Linked DNA regions of Tribolium castaneum. The protein of the gene in region 5 interacts with the protein of the main gene of each other region in a biochemical or structural test. Links are inferred from orthologs where the notes say so. Each region holds a gene or a part of one and is shown on either strand. Other genes may lie near its edges.

Region 1 (3,874 bases), on a different chromosome or scaffold from region 5:
AAGAGAAAACCGTCTATGATAAAAAGAAGAAAATGTTGCAGCGCTTGAAGGAACAGTTGACGAAATTGGAAATCCAGGAAACTGACCGAGATGAAAATAAAACCATTGCTTTGGGTACTTCCAAACTGAATTATTTGGACCCTCGTATCAGTGTCGCTTGGTGTAAAAAGTACGGTGTCCCAATCGAAAAAATCTATAATAAGACGCAAAGAGACAAGTTTCGTTGGGCTATCGATATGGCAGGTCCAGATTACGTCTTTTAATTTAGTGAAATTTTACATTCATTCAATGCACCCCTGTGCTGTTCCGTGTGTAATAATGTTAAGTTGTAAGTAATAGTGAAGTTTTAACTATTAATTTATTGTGAATAAATTGAAAACGTTGATGGAAGTGGTGCATTTTTTTAAATGATTGTTTTATCAAGGAACAACTCATGTATTTTTTTTTAAATCTGGATTACTTTAGGCGACCTTGTAAGGGTTTTAGTTAATGTAAAAATATTTATATTTTGAACAATCCATTTTAGTTATTATATTCCTGTTACAATAACAGTGATTGTAGGAGTCTGTATATTACAGATTTGATAAATAAAGAACGTAAAAAACATTTGGTGGCGAAGTTACTTGAAAAAATCCACGTTTTTGAGTTCTGGAGGCATGTAATACCGTTCATCACCCTCAAGTTTTCCATACCCTAAAACAGTAGTTTAAAAAATTGGTTACGCTTTTAGTACTAAGAGCAGACCCAAATCTTTCATTAATCTTGTTGGAGCGTTTCTCAAATGCATAGGAACAGAGGGTTGCAACCCTTCACAACTTTTAATGAGCTGTTTTGCTCTAGCTAAAGCCGAATCGGCCTCTCTTGACTTAGGGGCTCTGGCTAAATAAATTGCACACTGGGCCAAAAGTACGTCACATTCGGGCATCCCTAACAATTGACACCCTTGCATTGTACTGACTGCCAGTTGTAGGGCTCTAGGGTCTGCATTACCTGAACCAGAAATTAAAATAAACATGATACAAAAAAATTACCAATATCTTCACTAGCAGCCCTGACCATTCTGCGAGCAATGTAGAGAGGGTCTTCACCACTGACTATCATTCTCGTGGTCCAGTAAAGGGCCGCATTGGGGTCTGAGCCCCTGATTGACTTGTGCATTGCTGAAATAACATTATAGTGTTCTTCCCCTTTGCGATCATACAACAAATGAGATTTCTTGATTTTTTCCTTAATATCCTCGATCGTAACAACTTTATTTTTATCCTCATTGTATTGGAGAACTAGTTGTAGGTTCCCCAGGGCAATCCTGGCGTCCCCATCGCTTATATCAGCCAACCACTTAAGCGCGTCTGCTTGCACCGCAAATCCTTTACTCCTTGCCCCCTTATCTACAACTTCCACGTTGAAATTCCGAGCCCCCCGTTCCAAAATTTGATACAAGCAATCGGGGTCCAACTTTTGCAAGACAATCACACGACAGCGGCTCAAAAGTGCCGAATTTACAGTAAACGACGGGTTTTCAGTGGTGGCCCCCACTAAAATAATGTCCCCTTTCTCCACATGCAACAGGAAAATGTCCTGCTGCTTTTTATTAAACCTGTGTATCTCATCCATGAATAAAACAGTGCGGCACCCAAATTTCTGCTGCAGCTTCGCTGCCGAGACTATATTTTGCACGTCTTTAACGCCCGCAGTGGCCGCACATAACGACACGAATTTTAATTTCGTGGGGTTGCTCTTACATATGCCTTGGATCACCCCCGAGAGGGACGTTTTGCCGCAGCCGGGGGGCCCCCACAGGACCATGTTGGGAATGTCTCCTTTCTCCAGTAGGGTCCTCAGCACGGTGTTTTCGCCCAGGACGTGGCTTTGGCCCATGAAGTCGTCCAGGCACTTGGGTTGGAGCTGCTTGGCTAAGGGGGTTGTAAAGGTCAGGGGGTTCTCTTTGGTGGTGCTTGTTGAAGACGAGGTTTTTGGTTTCTTGGATGGTGAAACTAAATCCATTTTTTGGGTTGTCTTTGGTTTGGTAGTGTTCTGGGGGAGAATTGGCGAGGGGGACCGTTTGCGTTTCGGCATGTCTTCAGCGTCCGCCGAGTTCAGGAAGATACATTTGTTAACGTGACTTTCGATCAAGCTTAACGAAAAGGGCTTGTCGCAAATAGGGCAGTTACCAACGGGTTCGTTATCTTTGTCCATCGTTGGGTTTTTTGCGAACAAAGCGGGGGAAACTTAACCTACAAACGAACATTCGAAAATACGCGCGTTGGTTTTAAATGTACTACCACCACTACCACAGACCATGACCATGTACTACCAATCTTCAGAAAAAAAAGATTCAAAAATTCAATTTTTAAAATTCAATATCTCCGAAACTAGACGATCAATCTTTTTCATTTTTGCACCATCGATGCGGAATTCTTTAAACAATAATCGGTTAAAATTTAAAAGAAATCTTAAGAAAGTGAATTTGGGCACCAACTACCTTAAATACGCTTTCTCATTTTCCCACCTTTTTGGTTAAAGTCAAGATAATCGTCCTTAAAACATAAATAAGGTCAACTCAAAATGATCCCTTGCAAACAATTATTAGGCCCTTGATTTGGAATTATAAAAATAAACATGAAACAGACCTAACCTAAGAGAATCTCAGAAGATCGGTGCTAATGACCTCGAAGTGCTACGTGGATGTTTCACCTGCCTTAATGACATATTTTCCAAAAATGTGTGTGCCTTTGCTGCTTCTTTGAAATAAATGGAAAATTTACGCAACAGGAAACATAAAGATAAGTTGATTGATCAATACAGCGACAATGAGAAAAAAAGCGCACAAAAAGAGGAAATTCAAGTCGAAAAATGTAAGAAACGAAACGGCAACACTCCTTCCTACTTAAACAATGACGAAAAAGAGGTCTCATACTCGGTTAAAAGGGCGAAGTTCCTGCGAATCAACTTCGAAATTGATTTAATCTCAGTGGGGTTATTTTTGTGTGGTTTACTGACTCGAATGTACAGGCTGGAAGAACCGAAAAATATTGTGTAAGCGAATCAACCCATTTTTTAGCACTTGCCTAATAATTTTATTGTAGATTTGATGAGTTACATTATGGAAAGTACGTCTCTCTCTACATGAAAAACACGTTTTTCTTTGATTCTCACCCCCCACTGGGCAAGCAGTTGATCGCAGCGGTGGCCTACTTGGCCGGTTTCGACGGAAAATTCAAATTCGATAAAATCGGGAGCCCATACCCCGACACAATTCCGTTATTTGCGCTACGTTTCGTCCCTGCGTTTTTCGGCAGTTTGATAATACCCACCTCTTATCACTTGATGCTTGAGCTGGGGTTGACGCAATGGACTTCGTTGCTGGCGGCAGTATTACTTTTACTAGATAACGCTTTGTTGACCCAAAGCCGTTTCATTTTGATGGAGTCAATGCTACTCTTTTTCGCCTTATTTGGCATTTTTTGCATTTTGAAATTTCGCCAATACTACTCCAACCCCTATTGCATTTTTTGGTTTTTGTGGCTGGGGTTGGGGTTTACTTCACTGACGTGCGCTTTGTCCGTGAAGTACGTCGGGTTTTACTCGTTTTGTTTGGGGGTTGCCATCCTCGGACGCGACTTTTGGAAAATGTTGTCTTCCTCCACCCTCACAGATAGGGCCCTTTTGGTGCGGTTTGTGGCCCAAACGGCCGTTGCCGCTTCAGTTTCATTTTTAATCTACTTGGCTGTTTTTTACATTCATTTGAAAGTATTGTACAAAGCGGGACCACATGATAGTATTATGACCAGTGCGTTTCAAGCCTCCTTGGAGGGTGGCTTGGCTTCCATCACCAAGGGACAGCCCCTCTTGGTGGCACATGGGTCGCAGATTA
Region 2 (3,879 bases), about 2.7 Mb from region 5:
AAATATATTAGACGAGTAGCTAGTTCCTGTTTATGTCGGTTTAATTTTATTAATATTTATTTCTTTGTTATTACTAGTGATAAGTCGGAATAATCGCGCAATTACTATTTTTGTGATAATTTTCACAGTGATGCTAATAGGCATAGATTAATAACAATGAAATAATCACTGATAGTCTCACAATATTTTGAACTGTCTAGTTTAACCTTTTTTTTAATTGATATTTGAGAAATGCAAATCGCAAACTACCCAAGTCAATGAATGTATTTTATTTTGTTAAATATTACAATATCCATGTTAGAATATTTTATTAACTAACTTTCATAATGTTGTTAATTTAATAACTAAATGTAAATTATTAATATATTCTACTTATTTAATAGTTGTTTTTATTACTATTTCCCGTATTAAGACTACAGAGGACTATAACTTAGAGGACAAAATGAGATACAAAACCGCCTGATTTTCTGAACCCAGAAAAATAGTACGGTAGAGTAAAAATGTAAAACTGACGGCGTATCGAGCATTACAACGTCTCGGCGCCAAATCATTTTAAATTAATTTAAATTTGACCATTGCACTAATTACTTGAAAAAAATGCAGAAATGTTGAGCCTTGCACTGACTGAGAAAGACTGACGACTAAAATTTACATAATAAACATAAGACAAAAATTATTGAAAATGTGCTGTTGGTCCCGTATTTTTCAAGACGATGCGAATACAGTTGAAGAAGTAAGAAAAATGTTCAAAAGAAATTTGTAGAGAACTAAATTTCCTTTAACAGTCCGCGAGATCATATGTCTATCGTCAATGGTTTAGGCCCCAAAGACGCTGAAGCAACGAATTCGTCTTATTTTACCAGTGGTCAAGTTACGGAAAGTTAATTTATACCTAAACCGTAGAAGATATATATCTAATAAATATGTGACGGTGCAAAAAGGATTTTCGCTTAGAATTATCAATTTGCGTTCCACCTTATAATTTTACGTTTGCTGCGAATACGATTACAGAAACAAAAAAAGTGTAAGAAACTATAAAAAAATTAAATTTTCTATAAAAAAGTCCACAACACCATAATTCTATCTTCAACAGTTTAGGTATAAATAAACTTTCCAATACTTGACCACCGACAAAATGAAGCAAATTTTGGGGCCTAAATAGTTGGACACAGGCATATGGTCTCGCGGACTTTTTTGTAGAAAATTTAATTCTCTACAACTTCCTTCCTAACATTTTTTGTATCTGTAACCGTATTTGCAGCCTTTTGAAATAAATGAGGCAGAGTGCAAATTGGCAAAAGTTAATTTATTTTTTTTACGAATGGTTTACGATAAAAGTTTTGCATTTTGGTTGTCTTACTATTAAGATTTAATGCTCCATCTACCTGTAATTTTTGTTTGCTACGCGAAAAATTATAGGTGTTATTTTAATCAGGGACGTTGTGGCTGTAGGTTTTTCCCCGATCAGTTTCAAACCTTCAAAATGTTGGCGCCTTATGGAAGTGTCACAAGTTCCAACCCATCCAAACTATCCCTAAGGTTACCACCTCCTTTGTGGATTTTTCCAAGTGAAACAAATCATTAGGGACACTAATACACAACTCCCAACTTTGTGAAATAACATTATTTCAAGTACATTTTAATTACAAAACGTAAGTATATCTTTTAAACATTAAGTTAGAAATATATTTAATTTTTTACTAGAAAATACTGATATTTTAAATTTGTTGCTATATTACGTTAATTACGAATTGATATAAAATTTGGTGATAATTTATATATCATTTGCATCTGCTTATTCTATTTTATTTTCAAAAATTTGTATTAATTTAAAGCACAAAGACATTTTGTCTTGTCATCATTCCCTAACCTCACTTTACTGTCTAGAACAAAACATTGCAAAAATGCCTGCTGGAGGTGCATTATTCGGCAGTGCCGCTACGGGCCCCGGTTCAACTGGCGGTAACAAACACTTGGTTGAAGTACGGGCGGGCAAAATGAGTTTGAAAGGTAATTATCAAAACTCTTCAGTAAGCTCCCATAATCAAATTTTTGTTAGGTCGCATGGTGTACCCTGACAAACGCAAGGGTCTTCTCTACGTGTACCAAAGCGAGGACTCTTTGATGCACTTCTGTTGGCAAGATCGCACCAGCGGTATTGTTGAGGACGACCTCATAATCTTCCCTGATGATTGCGAATACATTAAAGTGCCCCAGTGCACCACTGGAAGAGTCTATTTGTTGAAATTTAAATCATCCAATCGCAAATTTTTCTTCTGGTTGCAAGTAGGGCGCCCCTTTTCTTAATTAATTAAATCACCAATTAAACCATAGGAGCCCCGCACTGATAAAGACGAAGACAACTGCAAGCGCATAAACGAGTTGTTGAACAACCCCTCAAGCGCGGTCCAGTCGTCGCAGTCCCCGGATCAGGACTTGCAGTCTCTGTTTAATAACATGTCGCAATCCCAACTCATGCAATTATTTGGAGGCGGCGTGGGCCAGATGGGGGGGCTGTCGAGTCTCTTGGGGACCATCAGGTAACGTATTTATAATTACGCTCAAACGCATAGTAAAAACTATGACACTTAGGGGCCCCAACAGCGGAAGTGCTCGTACTAACACTACCCCCGCTATAACTCACCGTACCACAGTCCCAAGCACCCCAACCACCAACACCACCACCACAGCCGTCAGCCAATCGCCGGCCACTCCGCAGACAACTACAGCCCCCACGACAGCCCCGGGCGCCCCCCGAGCCAACCGGTCGTCGGACTCACCATGCGGGCATAAAATTCAGTTATCAGACTTGCAGAATTTCCTGCAGGGGATTTCCCCAATTCAAGCTTCGTCTCAACAATCTGGTAATCAAAACAATTTTGAAGAAAAAGTGTAATAAAATATTTTTAGTTGATTTATCAACTGCTTTGACTGCTGAAGGACTGTCCGGGATTTTAAACAATCCGGGGGCTATTCAGGCCCTGCAAAATCATTTGCCGGCCGTTGAGGGTGACCCCCAAGACGCCTTGCGAGCAACATTGAATTCGCCCCAGTTCCAACAAGTGATAAACAAAAATTAATAAAATTTTGTTCTAATTATTTTTTCTAGGCCGTTTCCCAGTTTTCTAGTGCTTTAGAGTCGGGACAGTTGGGGCCGGTTGTGTCTCAATTGGCGGTTAATCCGGAGGCGGTGGCAGCGGCGGCGCAAGGAAACATGCAAGACTTTATGAAAGCCTTGGAAAAAACTGAAGGAAACTCGTCAAAGGAAGAGGATAAGGAGAAGAAAGGCGAGAAAAAAGAAGATAAGGATGATGATCACATGCAAACTGATTAACTAAATGTATTAAACTGAGTTTATTGAATAAAATTTAAAATGAGATTAGTTTTCGTCGGTTTGGAATTTTTTCAAGTCGGCGCAAAAAAGGACCTAAAAATTTGACTGCATTTTTTCACATAACTATTGACCACTTACTTACAGTGTGTGCCCAACCTGCCAGAGGGCCGTACAGCTCCCGAAAGTGGTCCCCAATGTCTTTATAAATCGTCGCTGTGACTTTTTTACGTTTCGGTAAATGTGGCATATAAAATTTTCTCGCAATTTGGTAAACATGCGTGTCGATAGGTATTGTCCCCAAGTGCCCCAAAGACATCAAGCAAATGCAGTCCGCCACCTTAGGGCCAATCCCAGTTAAAGTCATTAATTTACTCTTTGATTCCTCATAGGGCAGTTTTTTCAAATCGTCAAGCCATTTTTCGCCACCTTCCTGCATTATTATTTTCGCTGATTGATTTATGTACTTAGCCCTGTATCCAAACCCCTCCTTTTTTAAAACCGACTCGACCTTATCATCGGCTAAAGAATCAATTTTGGGGAATGAA
Region 3 (4,105 bases), about 2.0 Mb from region 5:
TTCGACTGGAGGCTCTTTGGGAGTAACAGGGGCCACAAATTTGGAAAAGGGGTGAATTTCTCCCCAAGCGCCAAATACGCAAGCAACTACTCGGACCCCCACAGTTACCACAAAATTATGATCGTTGCCAAAGTGCTGATAGGCAACGTCTGCCAAGGGGACCAAGACATGTCGCTGCCGCCTCCAGGCTATGACACAAGCCAGAAGGACCAAAGAGCGAGCGTTATCGTAAAGTATGAGGATAATGAATTCTACCCATATTACATTCTCCATTACCATTTGCGTGAAAAACACAGAAACAACAATCATTATCGTTATGATTGTAACTACATAAATCGTTATGATCGTTACCATGTGGAGAGAAGACGTTATAACACTCATTACAACTATTACCGGGATCGTTATGGCCCTGGTTATGGTAACTATCGCTACGACAACCATCGCTATGACAACTATCGTTATGACGACTATCGTTATCACAGAAATGATCACTATGGTGATCGTTATGATGGTGCTAAAACCAGGCATTTTTAAGTTTTTTCTGATGTTTGTTAACTTCGTTCTAGTAATATAACCAAAGCAATAGTTTTAATGTTGAAACTTATTTATGTTCCAAAATACGCAGCAGTATTATTGCAAGCATTCCAGTTTCAATTGCAATTTGTTTATTGTGATAAACGAAATAATGCTGTGAAGTAGTTTGATAAGAATAAAATTATTTACTTTGAAAATGTGACACTTACGTTGCTTTTATAAATTTAGTTATAGGCTCAGTAACATTTATCGAAAATTGTAAGTAGTTTTTGCTTGTCTTTGTTGCTTTTTGTATACACTTTTGATTTTATGTCCACGTTTAATTCCTATTAAAATTTTTGGATGAAGGCCTGTTTTATTTTTAATCGTTATAGTCCAGTTTATGGTACATTTAATTATAATTTGTTGTTTTCTATGATATTTAATTTAACCGCTATTAAGTATTAGTCATCAAGAAGTTCATGACCAGGGCGACCAACATTGAAGTGTGATAAAGTAATAAAATACCCGTTGCCCCTGGTCCTAGTACCCGTTTTCAAACATCATTTGCTAAATACCGGAAGGGAGCTTACTTTCTGAGTGAAAATTAAGCCAATTTCTTTAAAAAAATTGAAATTAACTGTGATCTTTTACTGATTGGGTTGGCAGCATTGCAATTTTATATGCGTCTGCAACAATAACCCCTGTGTCTGTGTCCCTGTTTTTTGATTGTGAAACAACGAACAACAGGTCCAATGCCCATTTTCAAAGGTAAATTTGCGTAAATTTGGGCCCCCAAGCCCAAAAGGCCCGCTACAAACCCCAATCTCAAAGTAGATAAGCTGGGGTCAAAGATTGTGTGATGCCAAAATTTGCACCCGAAAGATTATGAGTACCAGCAAATTGAGAATTTAATTACTAACGAGTCAATGTTGACTCTATTTGCCGTTATAACTTCGATTTTCGCTTATTTGGTACCAATAAGGGCCACAGGTATGGCCAAGGTGTGAGCTTCCCAAACGCAAAATATGCCTCGTGTTCTACCGACGATATTTACCATAATGTGATGATTATGGCCAATGTGTTAGTTGCTAATGTTTGTGATGGTGGTGAAAATATGCACTTGCCTCCGCTTGGGTTCGACCCGTGCCAAAAGCCTGGCGGAGTTGTGATCGTCAAGTACGAGGATAACGAGTTTTATCCTGCCTATAATTTATACTATCACATTGGTAAAAACTACGATGGAGATGACTGTTGTGAAATAAAACTTTTCTTAATTGTTGAAATTGTTCAGAAGTTTTTATTTGCTAAGTTTGGGATTGGTAGCCTTGTAATTTTTGAATAAGCCGCCTAATTGGTGCATTGTGATTGGCCAAGTCATCTCAAATGCCAAATCAGTAGAAATAAACATAACCTCACTAAAGTTGCAAGAGTTCTTTTATCAGTATTTAAAAACAATGTCTTTTGAGATGGACCATTCCCGTACTATAATTCACATCGATTTGGACTGTTTTTACGCGCAAGTGGAAATGAACAAAAACCCCAGCCTCCGAACGGTCCCGCTAGGAATACAGCAGAAAAACATTGTCGTCACTAGCAATTACACAGCCCGTGAATTTGGCATAAAAAAGTGCATGTTAATCCCCGAGGCGAAAAAACTGTGCCCTAGCCTCGTGCTAGTCAACGGCGAGGATTTACACGACTATCGCCAGACCTCCTACAAAGTAACCAATCTGTTGCAAAAGTACACCCCTCTGGTGGAACGCCTAGGTCTTGATGAGAATTATCTGGACGTGACGACGCTAATAAACGAGAAATTGAACCAAAAAAGTGATCTCAAGCTTGTGGGAAATGTGTTTGGAGACACAAGTGATAAGTGTGAGTGTGGCTGCACGGAGCGCCTGATCATTGCCACAACAGTGGCTCAGGAAATCCGCGACGTTATTAAATCGGAACTCAACCTCACGTCCTGTGCAGGAATCGCCCATAACAAACTTTTAGCAAAAATTGCAGGAGCGCGCCACAAACCAAACCAACAAACTGTTGTTTTCCCAAATAGTGCGTTAGAATTGATTCTTAGCCTAAACGCACCGAACGATATCCCGGGAATTGGCAGAGCGTTGTTTGAACAATTAAAATGCATAGGGGTTGAAACAATTGAGGAGCTACAAAATGTTGATCTCAAGAGACTTGAAACCGTTTTAGGGCAAGATAAAGCTAAGTTAGTTCATGAGTTAAGTTTGGGTATCGATAAAAGTGGGGTCAAGCCGACGGGGAAGCCCCAAAGCATTGGTTTAGAAGACAGTTGTAGGTCAATTTCTGTAGAAACCGAAGTGAAAATAAAATTAGAACAGTTGTTAAACCGTCTCTTGCTTCTGGTGGAAGAGGATGGGCGTGTCCCCAAAACCATAAAACTAACAGTCCGGAAGTTCAACAAAGACAACAAGATGAGCCACCGAGAGACGCGCCAATGCAACGTCAATCCCTCGATTTTCTCCTCAAACCAACCAAACAAAGAAGCCAAAATCATGACCACGATCATGCACCTTTTCAACCGAATAATCGACGTCAAAAAACCCTACCACATCACATTACTTGGCCTCTCTTTCACGAAGTTCCAGGAGCCCCCGAAAAACACGCTCGCTTCGTTCCTGCGCAAGGACCTTGAAGTCCAGTCAGTGCTGAGTATAGAGAACCAGAACGGTGTCGAAGACGCCGAAAGTCCCGTCCCTTCAACCTCGAAGTTGGCACCAACGGAGGGGGAATCACCCACACCCTCACCGAAAAAACTAAAGTTGACAAATCTCGTGTCGAAGAAGCGCTGTTTTGAGGACTATTACGAAGACTGCGAGAGTCCCTCAAAGTTGAAGGTTGCGGATTTGTGCTTGGATTCGGTGTCGTGCCCCCCTGATGCCGACAAGGAGGTGTTCAAGGAGCTGCCGAAGGAGGTGCAAAAGGAGCTGTGGGAGGATTACAAGAGGAGGAGGGCCAGTGAGATGAATTTTTGCAGCAGTCAAGTGAAGAAAACCAAGCCCAACACGTTGCTTAATTATTTTATCCGGAATAACTGATGGTTTTGTAGATTTTTTTCATTAAATATGTTTTAATAAAAATTGGTTTTTTCTTCCACCCAGTCATTCCTAAATTCCAGATTGTATATTTTCGCGTGGTGGTAGGATGTTAAAAATACACAATTTTTAAAATTATCTGTATTTTATTATTATAAAAAATTCAGTTTTATAATAAGTCATCAATAAAAAATAATCTTCAACAGATTTATATTGGTTTAAAATAATCCGTAATCCGCTTGTTGTTTTTCAATTGCCTGATTGTTTTCGAGTCGTAAATTGAAGCCTTTTGGTTGAAACGTGAGTAAATGCCAGCGCCTGTTTGCTTATCAGTTTTGTATCTGATGACTTCACCTTGAGGCTTTATGCCTGACGTTTCAAAAAAGTCAAGAACACTAATTACATCGTCAAGGTCGGTGTAGTCCTTAGTGTAAAATTATTACAGCGTGAAGAGGTTCAGTATCTGCAGATGTTGAAACTTTTGCGTCCCAAAGATCTCCAATTTTTACAGCTTCTTTTATTTT
Region 4 (3,990 bases), on a different chromosome or scaffold from region 5:
AAGCCGTCAAAAACACCAAAAACCCCAGACCAATCCACCAAATAATCCCAGAAATACCCCAAAACGCCGCCTGTGTCTTCCTCTCCATCAACCGCTTCCATCCCGCCAAGAAACTGGACTTGGCCATCAATGCGATGGAAATTTTGCAAAGAATCACCTCGGAAAATGAACGTAAAGGCATTTTCTTGGTTATGGCCGGGGGCTACGACCCCCAATCGTCCATAAACGCCAGTTATTTCACCGACTTGGAGAAACTCGTCGCTGAGAAGGGGCTCCAAGACAAGATTATTTTCCTCAAGTCGCCCCCCGATGACGTCAAGACGGAACTTCTGATGGCGTGTGACTGCCTCGTTTACACGCCCGTGAAGGAGCACTTCGGCATTGTCCCCCTCGAGGCAATGACGGTGGCTAAGCCCGTCATTGCGTGCAACAGTGGGGGCCCCCGAGAGACAGTCGACCACGGAAACACGGGCTATTTATGCGAACCGACCCCCGACAGTTTAGCGCAATTCATGTACAGGATATTCAAGTCGGATAACAAGGCAATGGGGCTCAAGGGGCGCAAAGTGTTGCAGGAGAAATTCTCAAATGAGAGTTTTGCAAGGAATTTGAAGAAAATCCTTGATCACACTAGTGTAAATAAGAAGTTTATTTAAATAAATATTTTACTTAGTCCAAGAGACCTTAGGTATGTCAAAGTGTTCCGTGAGCCCGTCCAAGTGTTGGTTGAATTTTTCTACTCTTTCTTTGTGTGTCATTGACGCTTTTTCCAAGATGCGTTGAGTTTGCTGCAAATTGTAACAATCAGGCAACAAATTTAACACGAAATGTGATTTATTTACCATTTTTTCTTGCTGTTTTAAGAACGCAAGTTCGGCTTTTGTTTTTTGCCTCGCAGGCTTTGATTCCGGTGTCTCACTTTCGACAATTTTGCTCACTTGCTCTAACAACTTCTTATCTTTCTTCTTCTTTTTCTTTTTAATGCTGTTATCACCTTTTAATTGCAATTTTCCCTTGCAAACTTGTGCGTATGGGTCGTCACTTTGCCCCATCTTGTTTGTTTTGACGTTTCTGGAATTTTTCACACAACAACCAACGTAACGGATCGACAATCCCCAAGAATGAGGTTATGAAATTTCCTCACAAAAAATGTTTTTTTCTAAAAATAAGCCCGGCCGCGGTTACCACAGATGATGAGTTTTATTATCAACGTAATTAAAGATTTGTTGCATAAGATGTTACAATTTCTGTCATTTAGTAGAAAAACGCTGAGCAATAATTTGAGTATTTACATAAAAACCAACACAGGGAATACGCTTTCGGTCGATTTGGACCCCACCTGGGACATAAAAGAGGTGAAAGAGTTCGTTGCGCCCCAATTGGGACTGAAACCAGGCGAGGTAAAGATTATTTTCGCTGGAAAAGAGCTGGGAGACAACATTAGTATTTCTGTGAGTTTTGCCCTCAATACCACTAGTCGTAACCAGTTAGTCATTCTAGGAATGTGATTTGGGCCAACAAAGCACCCTCCACGCTATCAAAATCACCAAAAAGCCCAACCCTCCCACTTTAAACAATGCCGTAATTGAGGAAAGTGACGAGGGCAAACCTCTGTGTGAGACCTTATCAGATTTGAGTTTTTCAAACGATGATTACGAGGAAGGGCCCACCGAGCAACGCAAAGTCCACTTTTTTGTCTATTGCCCCACGTGTAAAGCCCTCAAAAATGGGAAATTGCGAGTTCGGTGCCACTTTTGCAAATCGGGGGCTTTCACGGTGCACTCAGACCCCCAAAACTGGAATGATGTGCTGCAGCCAAAGCAGATAACCGGCCTTTGTGAGAATAGCCCCGAATTGTGCGCCAACGTACGTTTTTTAATTATTTAATTGAAATTAGTCAAAAACACTCCACACTAAAAATAGTACTGGACAAAATTTAATTTTCCTTTAAAATGTTTATAGTCAAAATATTTAAAGTTAAAAATATTTACGCTTACTAAGGAGCATTGCGAAAATTTTTAAAATGTTTGCAATCGTAATGTCCGCTCACCTAACTAGAAGCAGCAGATTCATTAACACCATAAGAGCGAGCTAAACCGAAATTCTGGTACAGGGAAATCAATGTTAATTTTAAAAACTAAAAGTCGCTGAAGACAATTAAAAACAATATACGCCAAAATATTTTCAGATACTTTTTTAAATTTCTTTTTCTATCATAAAGTTAAAATTTTCTACAGTTACCAAATTTATTGAATGTAAATCTAAATTTGAAATTTGGGTTACTACTGAGGGTCTCTATAACATTTTTAGAAAATGTGTTCCAGCTATAAATCAGGTATCTAGCCCAGTCAAGTTAGACCAGACAAGAATTGGGCGGTTGGTGGCAAAAATTCCTAGTGAGTTGGAATTTTTTAAACGCGTTCTTTAGATAGACAGATATTAAAAATCCCAGAGGATGGAGGCTGAGCTCGAGATGGGGGAGAGGGTTAAGTGTGTCATTTTTCGTTTTATTTCTTATACCACGGAAACAATCATTGTCGGTTTTCACCTTCTTACAAAAATTAAAGCTGATGAAATTTCCTACAAAAATTGGTCCTATGCACTTTTGTTATAGGACTACCCGTAAGCGAGTTATAGGACTGAAAAGAAATAATTATTTAAAAAAAATCTGCTTCAAAGTAGAATGTCTTGTGACTTGAAAAAATCCAAATTTTACAACTGTTTCAAATTGAAATGATGAAATCTCTAGTATTGTGTAAAAATTGTTATAATAAAAATTTTTTAAACGTCCTTGACTGATTGATTTTAAAAAAATTCACGACGATAAGACCAAGTTCCTTAAAAAGTTTAGTTAAAAGTTAATGTAATAAACATCATCAGGCTTTTTACTCGTTCAAATTCTTGGAAGTAAACATTAAAAGATGGAATTAACAATGACTTAATGACAACAACACATGCACACACCACCGCCTTTTGACACCAGTTGGTGTCTTAAAGTGAACAAGACAGCGTTTTAAAAATGGTGGATGCGCCGGGAGAAATTATCAAATTAAACATTTCCAAATACTACTTTGAATAACTTTAGTCAAAAATGTACAAGTGTACAGAAAATATAAGAAAAACAAGTGTAAAACAATTTACTATTAACAAACTGCAAATTAAAAAAATGGTGGATGCGCCGGAAAAATTAATCAATATTCAAAAAAAATAAAAATAGATGTTTGTTGTTATTTTCTGACAAATGTATACATGTTTAAAATACTTTTTTATCAAACATTAACGCAAGTAGAGCAAACTGACATGAAATAAGGCAGTGGTATTTTGACAATTTATTGAAATAACGTTATGAAACGTAAGTTTTATGGGAATTTTTGAATGTAATCATTTCTGGACAAAGACATGACTCTAGAGGCAAAACGGCTCATTTATCAGCGTTTATCAGCAAAACATTTCTATCTTAGTGACCTCTATAACACCGTAAAGTTTGGCAACATCATTTTGAACGCTGTATAAGGAAGAGAAAATTATGTAAAAATAAGTAAGAATCGCTCCATAATCAAAACGACACACAAGAATAATAGTTTAGATTTTTTATTAGATTACAATATTAATAATAAATTATAAACAAAGACAATTGGATTACCATAACTTTTCAATTCTCCTTTTTTACCTGCTTTTTTTTCTATCTTTGTACCTGTCTTAAATCATTTCTTTTAATTAAGTGTCAATAGAAATTACTAGTAGGTAGCACATAAGTAGGTAAATTTAATTTTTAATTCTTTTAATATTACCTTTTTTGAGATAAAAATGTATTCAACGGGAATCTACTAAAGCGCTACAATAATATTTTGTTTGTGCGTGAGATGCGTACAAAAGCAAAGATAGACAGTTTCGTTTGGTAACAGAAAATACTTGATCGATTTAACGACCTTCGCTAGAAATATTTTAGTTTAGCTTGCTCTTAAAACACAAATTAAGAACGACTATGAT
Region 5 (4,070 bases):
TTAAACGAATTTAGCTATAATAGGGCGAAGAATACAACGAATCGTGTAAATAATTTTAGGTGATCACCAATGTCAACATGTTTACCAAAAGCGGTTATTACCGTTTTGGAACTATAAAGTTTATCACGTCTTATCCTGTATTTTTGTAGTTGGACTACGTTACGTTTAGCAACTGTTAAAGCCGAATTGTATATTTTAGGTAACATGAAATGTATTTGTTGACTGCTTAGTTTTATAATGCGGACGAAAGATTTATGTTGAAGTAATAGAATTACGCTTTGTTAAAGTATCATAATTTTGAATTGTTGATATAGGAAGTATGAAATTATGGCGTATAATCAATCTGATGCAATATTTTTGTTGTTGCTGTAATTTCGGTAGCATGTTCTTGTAGTTTTAATTTTATGGACGCTGTGTAGTGTAAAATGGCCCATTATTTTTGTAATTAATTTTCATATTTTAGGGGTTTGTTTGCCACAATAATTGCCTCTTTATGTGATATTTGTTTCCATTTTATAGACACAAATGTGCCTTATCTATTACAATATGAAGAATAAATAAGTTGTAATGAATTACTGTACTTTTCTTTGTCCCAAATGACCCTTTTACATAATTTATTATTGTCGTCCGTATTTACATGATAAACAAGACTCTAGAACAACAACGATAAGGATAATTCTTTGTAAACAAATAAATTCCTTTCAAAATTGAACAGACGAATTTGGCATTTCATGCAGGTATTAATGGGTGGTTTATTTGAAACGTTTGAAAAGCATAAATTGGAAAATAAATTAAAATTTGAAAAATAAAAAAGGGCGTAATTCCAAAACAAAGAAAACAGCTGATCGATAAAGCTGACGACGTAGATAAAAATCAGCTGACATGTCACCAACAACTACTGGCCAAAGTCCCTAGAATCTTGTTCAATTAAAAGCAATTTTCTTAATACCTGAAACATTGTTTTGACCACGATTAACCGAATTGGCATTAAACTGATAGCAACTAAAGTTTATGTATAAATTTTTGATTAAAGAGGACGTTTTTTGGATAATTAGTCGAAAATTCTAGAAAGTGTACTTTGGGTTCGAGATTAAAAAGGAGTGGGGGAAGCCGTCCGTATAAAAGCGGTTCCACAGCTGCATTCGCCATATTGTCTGAGCAAAAGTGGTGAAATACAAAAGCGATTTAATTAAAATTGTGAATTTTCCTAGCCGTAAAGGTATGTATTTTAATTTCATCATGAATTATTCGATTGCAAGAAGCGCAGAAAGTCGCAATTTTGTGAAATTTTTCGCATGACGCAATAACATTTGTTTGAAAAAACATCGCCCTAGTGACGTGTTTTTTTGTTTAAATTTTAACAAAATTAATTTTGTAAATTTGTCGATCTGTTCAAAACCAAACCACATAGTGAGTAATGTGTTTTTTCGGTTTATTCAGTGCGTAATTCTTTGTTCAACGAAATCCAATATGGCGGCTTGGAAATTTGCTTTGTCACAAAAGTAATTTTTTGTGTCGTTGCAGATGCAGATCTTCGTGAAGACTTTGACTGGTAAAACCATCACCTTGGAGGTCGAGCCCTCCGATACCATCGAAAACGTCAAAGCTAAGATCCAGGACAAGGAAGGTATCCCCCCAGACCAGCAACGTTTGATCTTCGCTGGCAAACAACTCGAAGACGGACGCACTTTGTCTGACTACAACATCCAGAAGGAATCGACGCTCCACTTGGTTTTGAGATTGAGGGGCGGTATGCAAATCTTCGTTAAGACACTCACTGGCAAGACCATCACTCTGGAAGTTGAGCCCTCTGATACGATCGAGAACGTCAAAGCCAAGATCCAGGACAAGGAGGGCATCCCTCCAGATCAACAGCGTTTGATTTTCGCTGGTAAACAACTCGAAGACGGACGCACCTTGTCCGATTACAACATCCAGAAGGAATCCACCCTTCACTTGGTTTTGCGTCTGAGGGGAGGCATGCAGATCTTCGTCAAGACCTTGACTGGGAAAACCATTACTTTGGAAGTCGAACCTTCCGACACGATTGAAAACGTCAAGGCTAAGATTCAGGATAAGGAAGGGATCCCACCAGACCAACAAAGATTGATCTTTGCCGGGAAACAACTAGAAGATGGGCGTACCCTCTCAGATTACAACATCCAGAAGGAATCCACCCTTCACTTGGTATTGCGTTTGAGAGGTGGCATGCAAATTTTCGTCAAAACCCTGACTGGCAAGACCATCACCTTGGAGGTCGAACCTTCTGATACCATTGAGAATGTTAAGGCCAAGATCCAAGACAAGGAAGGTATCCCACCAGACCAACAAAGATTGATCTTCGCTGGAAAACAACTTGAAGACGGCCGTACTCTTTCCGACTACAATATCCAAAAAGAATCCACCCTCCACTTGGTGTTGCGTCTCCGAGGTGGCATGCAAATTTTCGTGAAGACTTTGACTGGAAAAACGATCACTCTTGAAGTCGAACCTTCGGACACAATCGAAAACGTGAAGGCGAAAATTCAGGACAAAGAGGGGATTCCCCCAGATCAGCAAAGATTGATTTTCGCCGGCAAACAGTTGGAGGATGGTCGCACACTCTCCGACTACAACATCCAGAAAGAGTCGACCCTCCACTTGGTGTTGCGTCTCCGTGGTGGCATGCAAATCTTCGTAAAGACTTTGACTGGGAAGACGATCACTTTGGAAGTAGAACCATCGGACACTATCGAAAACGTTAAGGCGAAAATTCAGGACAAAGAGGGGATTCCCCCAGATCAGCAGAGGTTGATCTTCGCCGGCAAACAGCTCGAAGATGGCCGAACTCTCTCCGACTACAACATTCAAAAAGAATCAACACTCCACTTAGTATTGCGGCTCCGAGGTGGCATGCAAATTTTCGTTAAAACTCTGACTGGCAAAACCATCACCCTGGAAGTCGAACCTTCTGATACAATTGAGAACGTCAAGGCTAAGATTCAAGACAAAGAGGGTATCCCACCAGACCAACAAAGATTGATCTTTGCTGGAAAACAACTAGAAGACGGCCGTACTCTTTCCGATTACAATATCCAGAAGGAATCCACTCTCCACTTGGTGTTGCGTCTCCGAGGTGGCATGCAAATTTTCGTGAAGACCTTGACGGGAAAGACGATCACTTTGGAAGTAGAACCCTCAGACACAATTGAGAATGTTAAAGCTAAAATCCAGGATAAAGAAGGCATTCCTCCAGATCAGCAGAGGTTGATCTTTGCTGGCAAACAACTCGAAGATGGGCGCACCCTGTCGGACTATAATATTCAAAAAGAATCAACCCTACATTTAGTATTGCGTCTGCGAGGAGGTATGCAAATTTTCGTGAAGACGTTGACTGGGAAAACAATTACGTTGGAAGTTGAGCCATCGGACACGATTGAAAATGTGAAGGCCAAAATTCAAGATAAGGAAGGTATTCCCCCAGACCAGCAAAGATTGATCTTTGCGGGAAAACAGTTGGAAGATGGTCGCACACTTTCGGACTACAATATCCAAAAGGAATCCACTCTTCATCTAGTCTTACGTCTTCGCGGAGGACAGTAATTTTCTGGAATTTCTATGCTTAATATTTTTTTTACTTTTTGTTACAAGTTTCCTGAAATTACGAATAGAGAATAAAGATTGATGGCTTAATTCTTGTGTTTTATTTTAGTACTCCATGTGAATTAATTCAAAAAAATGCTTATCAAAATTTTAAAACATTTGGCTTTACGGGGTTGGTTTGTCTTTGGATTTGGAGCTTAGACGAGATTGTAGGCCCGCGAGAATGTACGCTCACGAGAATTCTCCAAAAATCGCCAACACACAAATTGAAATTAAAAAAAGATTTGAGGTATATTTCCAACAAGGCAACAAATTCTTAAAAAAATAAGTTATTCATATGACTGCACATATTTTGGAGTAATTCGTTAAGCTAAATACAGTGTTAAAAATAAAGACTTCACTTTCATTGATATTCGGAGAAACCGGACTTGGCAGCCGATCGAATTTGACGTTAGGCATAAAAATAAAAAACTTAAAGACAAAAAAAA
Region 6 (2,863 bases), about 3.7 Mb from region 5:
TCAAAAGCTTGACAATTTCGGACTGTTTTTTCTTAACAGCGTGCGTAAGAGGAAATTCTCCGTTTTCACCGCAAAGATTAACATCAGCGCCTTTTTCAAGCATGAATTTTGTCATTTTAAAGTTACAGTTGTCTATAGCTTCAAACAGGCCTGAATGGAGGGTGAACCGAGCGTGACTTTTTAATAAGAGTTCAATCATTTCCGTGTTTTCGTTGTATACAGCGTGAGCTAAGGGAGTGTAGCCGTTTCTGTCCGCTTGACAAGTGTTTGCTCCATTTTCTACCAAGTATTTGGCGTGTTTTAAGTTTCCTTTGGTGATACATTTAATCAAAGGTGTGTCGCCATGACAGCAAAGGGCGTTAAGATCAGCACCATTGGACAACAGAAGTTTGATGATTTCCAAATTTCCATGAACAACAGCGTGCGTTAATACTGTTTCGCCTTTGCGTTTACTTCTTATGTTTAAATCTTCAAGGAAATATTTCACTGATTCTGTGTCTTGAGCAGATATTGCCTCAAACATCGTGTACGGGGACTGTAACAAGAAATGCTCCTTAAAAGGCAACTGCCTCTAATAATAAAAATCTTAATGCAAGTTTGCAGTAATTTGCTATACTTATTACATTATATAAAAATTTTTGAAAGATCAAGACAAATGATTGTTGTTTACTTGCTTGGTTGCTTAATTGAAGAGAGTTAAAACGAAATAAAATACAGATTTGACAACTTTTGTGATACAAGCTTATAGCATTCCAATTGTTTTAAGGTTTTATAGAGGGTTTTTTGTACAGAAGTTAACCGCCTCACAATGGGTTTATTACCAGACCCGTGCCACCAACTCAAAATTTGCATTTATTATTAAGGTTTTCTCTGTTTTCAAACAGTTCCAGTGCCCCTCATTATTAGAGTCTAATTATTTTACTGGGGGCCATATAACCCTTATTCGACTAGGAATACAATACTTAATTTGTTACTTACACCATCAGAATTTTCCGCTTTTTTATTCATTCTTGCAAATCTGTTTTTAACAGTTTTCTTACAAGTAACTACACGTTATAGCCACACGGCATACACTTAAGTAAAAAATCAAGTAGAAACACCTGTGACGCAAAAAATATCAAAATCATAGCCTTCTTGATGCATGGAGACAAAATTATTAATCTTGACAGAAGTGTTTTACTGGTTGCATAGCCAATATAGAAATATTGAAGATTGTGCTTTTTCAGTGAAGATACGAGCAGTTTGGGGAGCAGATTTTCGAAGTCTTCGTCGGAGCGCGAAAAGATTCTCCACAGACGCAAAGAGAATTTGATTCAGAGCGCCAGAAAACGCTACATCGAGAAACAAAAAGCCGCCGCTGCTGCAAAAGTGGAGCTACAAAGTTGAAGTATTTATGAAGATATTTTTTAGGGGAGAAGTCGTCTGACAAAGTTGTCCCAGATGTAACAAATTGTTAAAGTGTACATTGAAAATATCTGCAGTTAAAACACTGCGCTATATTTAGATATTAATAATAAATGTCTAGATAACATTATGTAAAAATTTGAATTATCTTGCAGAATTGTATTTGTTTTATTTTCGAACGCAAGGCTCAAGGGATGTGGATCTAAACTAAAAATGATAAAACGGGAACGTGTTTTAAATACCGATTTATTAAAGACAAATCATTTCGTAATGGCAGTTTAGGAATATCTAAGTTGTTATGGCGTTTGTAAGTTTGTATGAAATTCATGTTATAAATTATTAAGTAGGTTTAAGATATTTATTAGTCTGAAATTGAATTGACGTCGATTAGTCATTTTCCGAGTGATAAATTTGCAATTTGTTGTTTTATTTGAGAATGTTTATGTTCTTTATTTTTAGATGAAGTAAATAACTGTCTTTTTAAACGAACTAATGTTCCTTAATCAAAGTTTAATAAAACTTAGTCACCACTTAGCGGTGTTACATCGTTAGAGCTAGTCTCACCAATCGGATCTGGTGAACCTCGCCCTGGATGAAATATTTTTAAAGGCTTTGGTCAGATTGCACTTGAATTTTAATTAAGTTTGTAGTGTACATTGTGATAAAAGACTGACTCTTGGTATTTCCGTGTGATACTTTCACGTTTTTGTGTTAGGTTTTAGATTCGTGCTTTATTTTGCTATGTTTTAATGTTTGTTTTGTTTACTTACACGCGATTTTATTACAGTGTTAAAACGTCCGGCCTGAATTTTTGTGTATAATTAAAATGCTCAGACCCGAGGGAATCCTCGTAGGTCGAACATGTATTTCATATTGTTATGCAGTGCAAAGTGCATGTTCTCTTTATTAAACATAGAACTGTCTAGTTATATTTCGATATAGGAAATACGTAATTGCCATGCAAACATATTGTGTGCCAGATATCTAAGGGCCAAAGTATATCAGTTACTTATTTCGTCGTACTTACGTGTCCTGTCAATCTCCTAATCTTTGTTATTGTGCTTAGTATTGCTGTAATAAATTATTAAAAAAACGCATTTTATCTGCACCTCTCCAATTTTTCCCGCAAAATACGCAAGGGTTCGTAAATAATGTAATTCAAATGAGTTGTTTATTCCTACAATTATTTCAATATAAAAATGGTTTACATCACGAAAAAATCCAATGGTAATGAAAAATAGTCACCTCAGTTTCAGTACGTTTATTGAAAGTGAGATGGCTATGTTTACACCGAATTATAATCTCCAAATAAACATAATAAAAAAATTGGTTATGACTAGAGAATGGACGTTTCAAAATTAATAAAAAAATTTAGCATCGGTCATTTTTAATTGCTGGATTTAAATCACTGAAATAAGCGTGCGCCATAGCGTCGTCTGCGGACATCCTTCCCATGGGG
Region 7 (4,226 bases), on a different chromosome or scaffold from region 5:
CCTCGCCTCCTGCTCCCGCTCCCCAACTGGACCGTGCCGCTGCTCGCTGTCGACTGAAGCGCTCTCGCCGCCTGCGCCGCACACCTAACCTCGTGACACGTCACGGACGTGACGTCACACAAGCTTAAAACAGTTCATCACCAGAAATATTCAGTGGCAAAATCCGTCAAATTTAAAAACATTCATACACAGAATTATGCAAAATAGAACAGTATTGATCTAGAAAAAGTCATTACACGAAATGTATTTGTCTAGAAAATCATTAACACCCAAATCAAAAACGTAACAGAGGGCGCTGTTAAAGGTAGAAATGTAAAGTCCCTAGATTTATCGAAATGGTTTCCTAAATATTCAGATTTTTAATGGCAGTGGTCTGAAATTATAAAATAATCGTAGTTAATGGAAAAATAAAGACGCATGTTTTTATTTAAACAGAAACTGGCGACGTGAAATTTTCTGCCCTTGCAGAGGATATTTAGGGTAGGAATTTCTACCTTGCATTAAGAATTTCAATGCTACTGCCAAATAGGGACAAAAGTCTCCAGAAAATTTAGCTCTAGAAAAAGTAGGGTTAGGATTGTTGTGCTCACTTCTGAAATGTTAAGTTTTCACTTTAGTGGACTATTTTGTGTGTCTTTCTGCTCTTTTAGAGCGTTATTAATTCTTATTGAATATGTAGGGGCAGATCAATCTACCTTGAATCAAAAACGACAACTTCAGTGTTATTCATAAAAATGTAAATTTTAATAATTGCAAGTCCAAGTTGCCAGAAGGTTGGTTGGTTGAATGACTTTGGTGCAAAGAACGAATGTTGACAAATTAGAGATGACGAGAAAAACACGAATAACGAATGACTGTTTGTTCAATTAGGTACTTTATTGTAAAATTATTAAAAGCACATTGAAAAGCCTACCTTTTGGAACAATATACTTAAATGTATGAGCAGTTGTTAATCTTAATTGCAGTTTTGTGGATTCACTCAAGTATTTCACACACTTCAACAATTATTGATTAGGCAATTGTTTTAATAACACTTTGTTGTCAAAAGTAAAATTTCTTTAATTTTATATCAACTTTTACATTACAAACAAAAACATTTGATAATTACGAAAACTCACAACCAAAAGCAACGCTAGTATTTACCACCACATACTTTTAGATTGACTCGCTCTAATGTAAATACACGCAAAATTGCTAAATATTCATTAAATAAGAAATTACGAAAATTTCGTTACTGTTTTCGGCAAGAACGACATGTCGTCACCTGAGGGCGTCTAGATAATTTTATTCCCGAATTGATGCACGTTTCTGGTAATGAATTTTCTAGATAAATACTGTCATAGGCAGCATCCAGTGCCTAAATAAATAATGTTCTGTTTTGAATGATTCTGTGAATGAATGTTTCTCGGTTTGTGCGATTCTGCCAGTGAATGTTTCTAGGTATGTGCTTTTCTGTTGATGCCAAGTTCTAGACGTAAATTTTCCTAGATCCGAACGCGTCCCCAAAATTAACCACATTTTAGGAAAATATCGCGTAAACTCATTGTTTTTGATCAAAAACGTTGAGGACACGTTGCGAAACCGTCCGAAATACAAGTTTAGTGTTGTTTGTGCGTTTATCAGCTGATTGCATTTTTGCCGGTGTTGTCACATCAGTATCGTTGAAATACGCATTGCATGGTGTCGTTTTACGCGAAAAAGTCGGTTTTTCGACCAGTTGTTTAGTCAAATTCGTAGTGCAAAGCCCCTTATTAAAAAATGTCGGGTACTGTGGACACCTTGGTCGAGATGGGCTTCAGCAAAGCACGAGCGTAAGCCAACACGTCATTGCGGTTCAAATTACCATTAAAATGCTTGCAGTGAGTTAGCAGTTTCCAAAACCGGGACCGAAGACATCCAGGTTGCCATGGACTGGCTGCTGTCCCACGAGGAAGAGCTGGAGGACATGCCGGAGCCCCCGCAAGCCGCCGACGCCTCCGCCCCCGAAGCGCAGCCCAGTCCCGAGGGCCAAGTCGTCAGGTCCTTCAAATGTGACGACTGCGGCAAGCTGTTCAAGTCGCAGGACGAGGTGGAGTTTCACGCCACAAAGTCGGGCCACGAGCACTTCTCGGAGTCGACGGAGGAGAAGAAACCGCTCACTGAGGAAGAAAAGAAGGAACAACTGGCGAAAATCGAAGCCAAGCTCAAACAGAGGCGCATGGAGCGCGAAGCGCGCGAGAAACAGGAGGCCCTGGAGAAGGAACGCAGTCGGATCAAGTCGGGAAAGGAGCTGCTGGAGGCCAAGAAAAAACACGACGAGATCGAGATGAAGAAGCTTGTGGAGCAGCGAAAGCGGGAGAAGGAGGAGGAAAGGCTGGCCAGACAGCGTGTGAAAGAACAAATCGAACAGGACAAGTTGGCTCGGAAAGCGAAATTTTCGGGGCAACCGCTGGAGGAAGCCCCACAAGCTGCTACGCCGGCGCCCCAACCGGCGGCCCCCAAGCCGGCGGCCGGTTACTCGGAGGTTATGCTGCAGATCAGGCTCACGAATGGGTCGTCGCTTGTGCAGAAGTTCGGGGCCAAGGAGCCCCTGAGCGCTGTGAGGCTGTATGTGGAAATGAACCGAAAGGACGGGGAAGGGCCCTTTAGCCTTATGACGAATTATCCAAAGAAGGTTTTCGGGCCTGAAGATTACGATGTTCCTTTAGAAAGTCTAGGTAATTGCAAAACTCCGAAGGACTAAGAAATTTCGAGTACTTTCGGCTCCGAATTATTTTAAATTCAAAACATTCACCAGAACAATGATTTTGTCGAAAATAAACCAAAAAACTACCTAATTTTTTGAGGGTTTAAACAAGTTTGTGACAGATCTTGTATACAGTCACGGAATTATTTGCGAATTTTTGTTTAAAACAGGCTAGCGAATTTTGCTAAACAAGACCTAAAAATCACCAAAATGCTTGGCGCCTCAAAATGTTTTGCAATAGTTTACTGTGAATTTGTATATATTTTGTAAAACTTCGTTAAAAATAAGCGTAGAAATAATCAAATTACCTCGATAATTGTGTATTTTTTGCATTAGTCGGGGCTTTAAACACGTTTTTAAACTTACCGCCCGAAAAATTACTGTAATGAATAGAAAATATATCGTTTTTCTAGTGTTTAGGGGCTTTTGAGATAAAAAAGTTCACTAAATTGGGTCGCAAATGACAACATACTTCGTTTTCCCAAAGATAAAAAAGTCAACCATTTAGGGTCGAATATTTGACCAATTTTTTTTTTTTCATTTTTCGAGCATTTAGCCGGTTTTTGACTTAAAAGCCGCCTTTATTCTTCATGAATTTAGCGCCTCTTTTCACTGTAATTTAATATCTACGACTTTGTTCTTGTATTTTGCTCCTTTTGTACCAGAGATCACAAACTGGCAAAATTTTTGTTGTTTTTAGTGCTCTAATTTTTGTATTCGCTTTTGCGACGAAAACGCCTCCTAATATTTTAGTCCTCCGTTATAACCAATAAAATTTCCAAAAAATACAAGAATGGGTTTCAGGTTTGGGTCCAAGGGCCACACTCATCGTTTCAAAATCGTAATTAGGTCAAATGCTGCACAAACCTTATCTACTCTACCATCGTACGATATTAAAATTGCTTAAATAACGCTGGAACAATAGCTGGGATGTTCTTAAGTAACTAGGTGTAAGTATCTACAAAACTATACAAATTTATGTTGGAATATTTTTTAAAATATACATCATTTTGTAAGCCAGTAGCTGCTGTATAAAAATATGCAGCTCGTTGTGTGTGAAATCTTGAGCAGTAAATAAATTTTTCATATTTCCTTGCCGAGTCGCTCCCTAAGAAACGGTAAATAAAACAACCAACCATCGACCACATTTTATTTTCAATTATTACAATTAATGCTCTCCTGTTCAGACTTAAATCAAAACAAATGAATTTCTACAACTTACCACGTAATTACAAAGACCGGTTTTATGCAAATTAACGAGTGAACTGAAAACCATGACAATTATTCCTAAAATCTAGGCATGTTTCATTTCCCCCCACATTCGTTTTATTTGTGTTCTTAATTTAATAGTTACGTCATTACGAACAATTGATGATTCTTAAAAAAATAAAACTGACTGCAAGAACTCTACTCACGATAAAATTAAACATTACGTAAGTAGAGTTCCTGCAATTTCACGCCTTATTTTGATGCAGGGACTAGGCGGAGTTGTGCAATTGTT

Evidence for each region.
Region 1: the proteins of Ubi-p63E (region 5) and ATPase WRNIP1 form a complex in vitro, tested with the Homo sapiens proteins (6 studies listed by BioGRID). The link is inferred for Tribolium castaneum from reciprocal best matches to the Homo sapiens genes UBC and WRNIP1.
Region 2: the proteins of Ubi-p63E (region 5) and proteasomal ubiquitin receptor ADRM1 form a complex in vitro, tested with the Homo sapiens proteins (10 studies listed by BioGRID and IntAct, with this or other methods). The link is inferred for Tribolium castaneum from reciprocal best matches to the Homo sapiens genes UBC and ADRM1.
Region 3: the proteins of Ubi-p63E (region 5) and PolI form a complex in vitro, tested with the Homo sapiens proteins (6 studies listed by BioGRID and IntAct, with this or other methods). The link is inferred for Tribolium castaneum from reciprocal best matches to the Homo sapiens genes UBC and POLI.
Region 4: the proteins of Ubi-p63E (region 5) and park form a complex in vitro, tested with the Homo sapiens proteins (16 studies listed by BioGRID, with this or other methods). The link is inferred for Tribolium castaneum from reciprocal best matches to the Homo sapiens genes UBC and PRKN.
Region 6: the proteins of Ubi-p63E (region 5) and E3 ubiquitin-protein ligase AMFR form a complex in vitro, tested with the Homo sapiens proteins (10 studies listed by BioGRID, with this or other methods). The link is inferred for Tribolium castaneum from reciprocal best matches to the Homo sapiens genes UBC and AMFR.
Region 7: the proteins of Ubi-p63E (region 5) and UBX domain-containing protein 1 form a complex in vitro, tested with the Homo sapiens proteins (9 studies listed by BioGRID, with this or other methods). The link is inferred for Tribolium castaneum from reciprocal best matches to the Homo sapiens genes UBC and UBXN1.

Annotation. Positions count from the first base shown.
Region 1 is NC_087398.1:8,311,265-8,315,138, forward strand, and holds ATPase WRNIP1, read right to left. Parts: upstream 2,405-3,874; 5' UTR 2,292-2,404; intron 2,280-2,291; exon of another isoform or gene 2,235-2,279; 5' UTR 2,197-2,234; coding exon 1,032-2,196; intron 991-1,031; coding exon 745-990; intron 694-744; coding exon 620-693; 3' UTR 501-619; downstream 1-500. Other genes in the region: Top1 (DNA topoisomerase I, mitochondrial), read left to right, coding at 1-263; rt (protein O-mannosyltransferase 1), read left to right, coding at 2,753-3,036, 3,087-3,874. UniProt on the Homo sapiens protein: Functions as a modulator of initiation or reinitiation events during DNA polymerase delta-mediated DNA synthesis. In the presence of ATP, stimulation of DNA polymerase delta-mediated DNA synthesis is decreased.
Region 2 is NC_087396.1:16,648,286-16,652,164, reverse strand, and holds proteasomal ubiquitin receptor ADRM1, read left to right. Parts: upstream 1-1,494; 5' UTR 1,495-1,652; intron 1,653-1,887; 5' UTR 1,888-1,904; coding exon 1,905-2,010; intron 2,011-2,059; coding exon 2,060-2,286; intron 2,287-2,334; coding exon 2,335-2,540; intron 2,541-2,592; coding exon 2,593-2,864; intron 2,865-2,910; coding exon 2,911-3,062; intron 3,063-3,109; coding exon 3,110-3,334; 3' UTR 3,335-3,368; downstream 3,369-3,879. Other genes in the region: Ogg1 (N-glycosylase/DNA lyase), read right to left, coding at 3,369-3,427, 3,473-3,879. UniProt on the Homo sapiens protein: Component of the 26S proteasome, a multiprotein complex involved in the ATP-dependent degradation of ubiquitinated proteins.
Region 3 is NC_087396.1:11,985,413-11,989,517, reverse strand, and holds PolI (DNA polymerase iota), read left to right. Parts: upstream 1-1,305; 5' UTR 1,306-1,970; coding exon 1,971-3,584; 3' UTR 3,585-3,626; downstream 3,627-4,105. Other genes in the region: protein mono-ADP-ribosyltransferase PARP11, read left to right, coding at 1-534. UniProt on the Homo sapiens protein: Error-prone DNA polymerase specifically involved in DNA repair. Plays an important role in translesion synthesis, where the normal high-fidelity DNA polymerases cannot proceed and DNA synthesis stalls. Favors Hoogsteen base-pairing in the active site.
Region 4 is NC_087398.1:11,672,335-11,676,324, reverse strand, and holds the start of park (E3 ubiquitin-protein ligase parkin), read left to right. Parts: upstream 1-1,190; coding exon 1,191-1,451; intron 1,452-1,500; coding exon 1,501-1,866; intron 1,867-3,990. Other genes in the region: alpha-1,3/1,6-mannosyltransferase ALG2, read left to right, coding at 1-656; protein FAM32A, read right to left, coding at 666-788, 843-1,052. UniProt on the Homo sapiens protein: Functions within a multiprotein E3 ubiquitin ligase complex, catalyzing the covalent attachment of ubiquitin moieties onto substrate proteins. Substrates include SYT11 and VDAC1.
Region 5 is NC_087396.1:13,943,037-13,947,106, forward strand, and holds Ubi-p63E (polyubiquitin), read left to right. Parts: upstream 1-1,270; 5' UTR 1,271-1,410; intron 1,411-1,524; coding exon 1,525-3,582; 3' UTR 3,583-3,672; downstream 3,673-4,070.
Region 6 is NC_087396.1:17,624,924-17,627,786, forward strand, and holds the end of E3 ubiquitin-protein ligase AMFR, read left to right. Parts: intron 1-1,226; coding exon 1,227-1,386; 3' UTR 1,387-2,363; downstream 2,364-2,863. Other genes in the region: Cdk5 (cyclin-dependent-like kinase 5), read right to left, coding at 2,776-2,863. UniProt on the Homo sapiens protein: E3 ubiquitin-protein ligase that mediates the polyubiquitination of lysine and cysteine residues on target proteins, such as CD3D, CYP3A4, CFTR, INSIG1, SOAT2/ACAT2 and APOB for proteasomal degradation.
Region 7 is NC_087395.1:21,641,260-21,645,485, forward strand, and holds UBX domain-containing protein 1, read left to right. Parts: upstream 1-1,426; 5' UTR 1,427-1,758; coding exon 1,759-1,811; intron 1,812-1,860; coding exon 1,861-2,696; intron 2,697-3,529; coding exon 3,530-3,570; 3' UTR 3,571-3,817; downstream 3,818-4,226.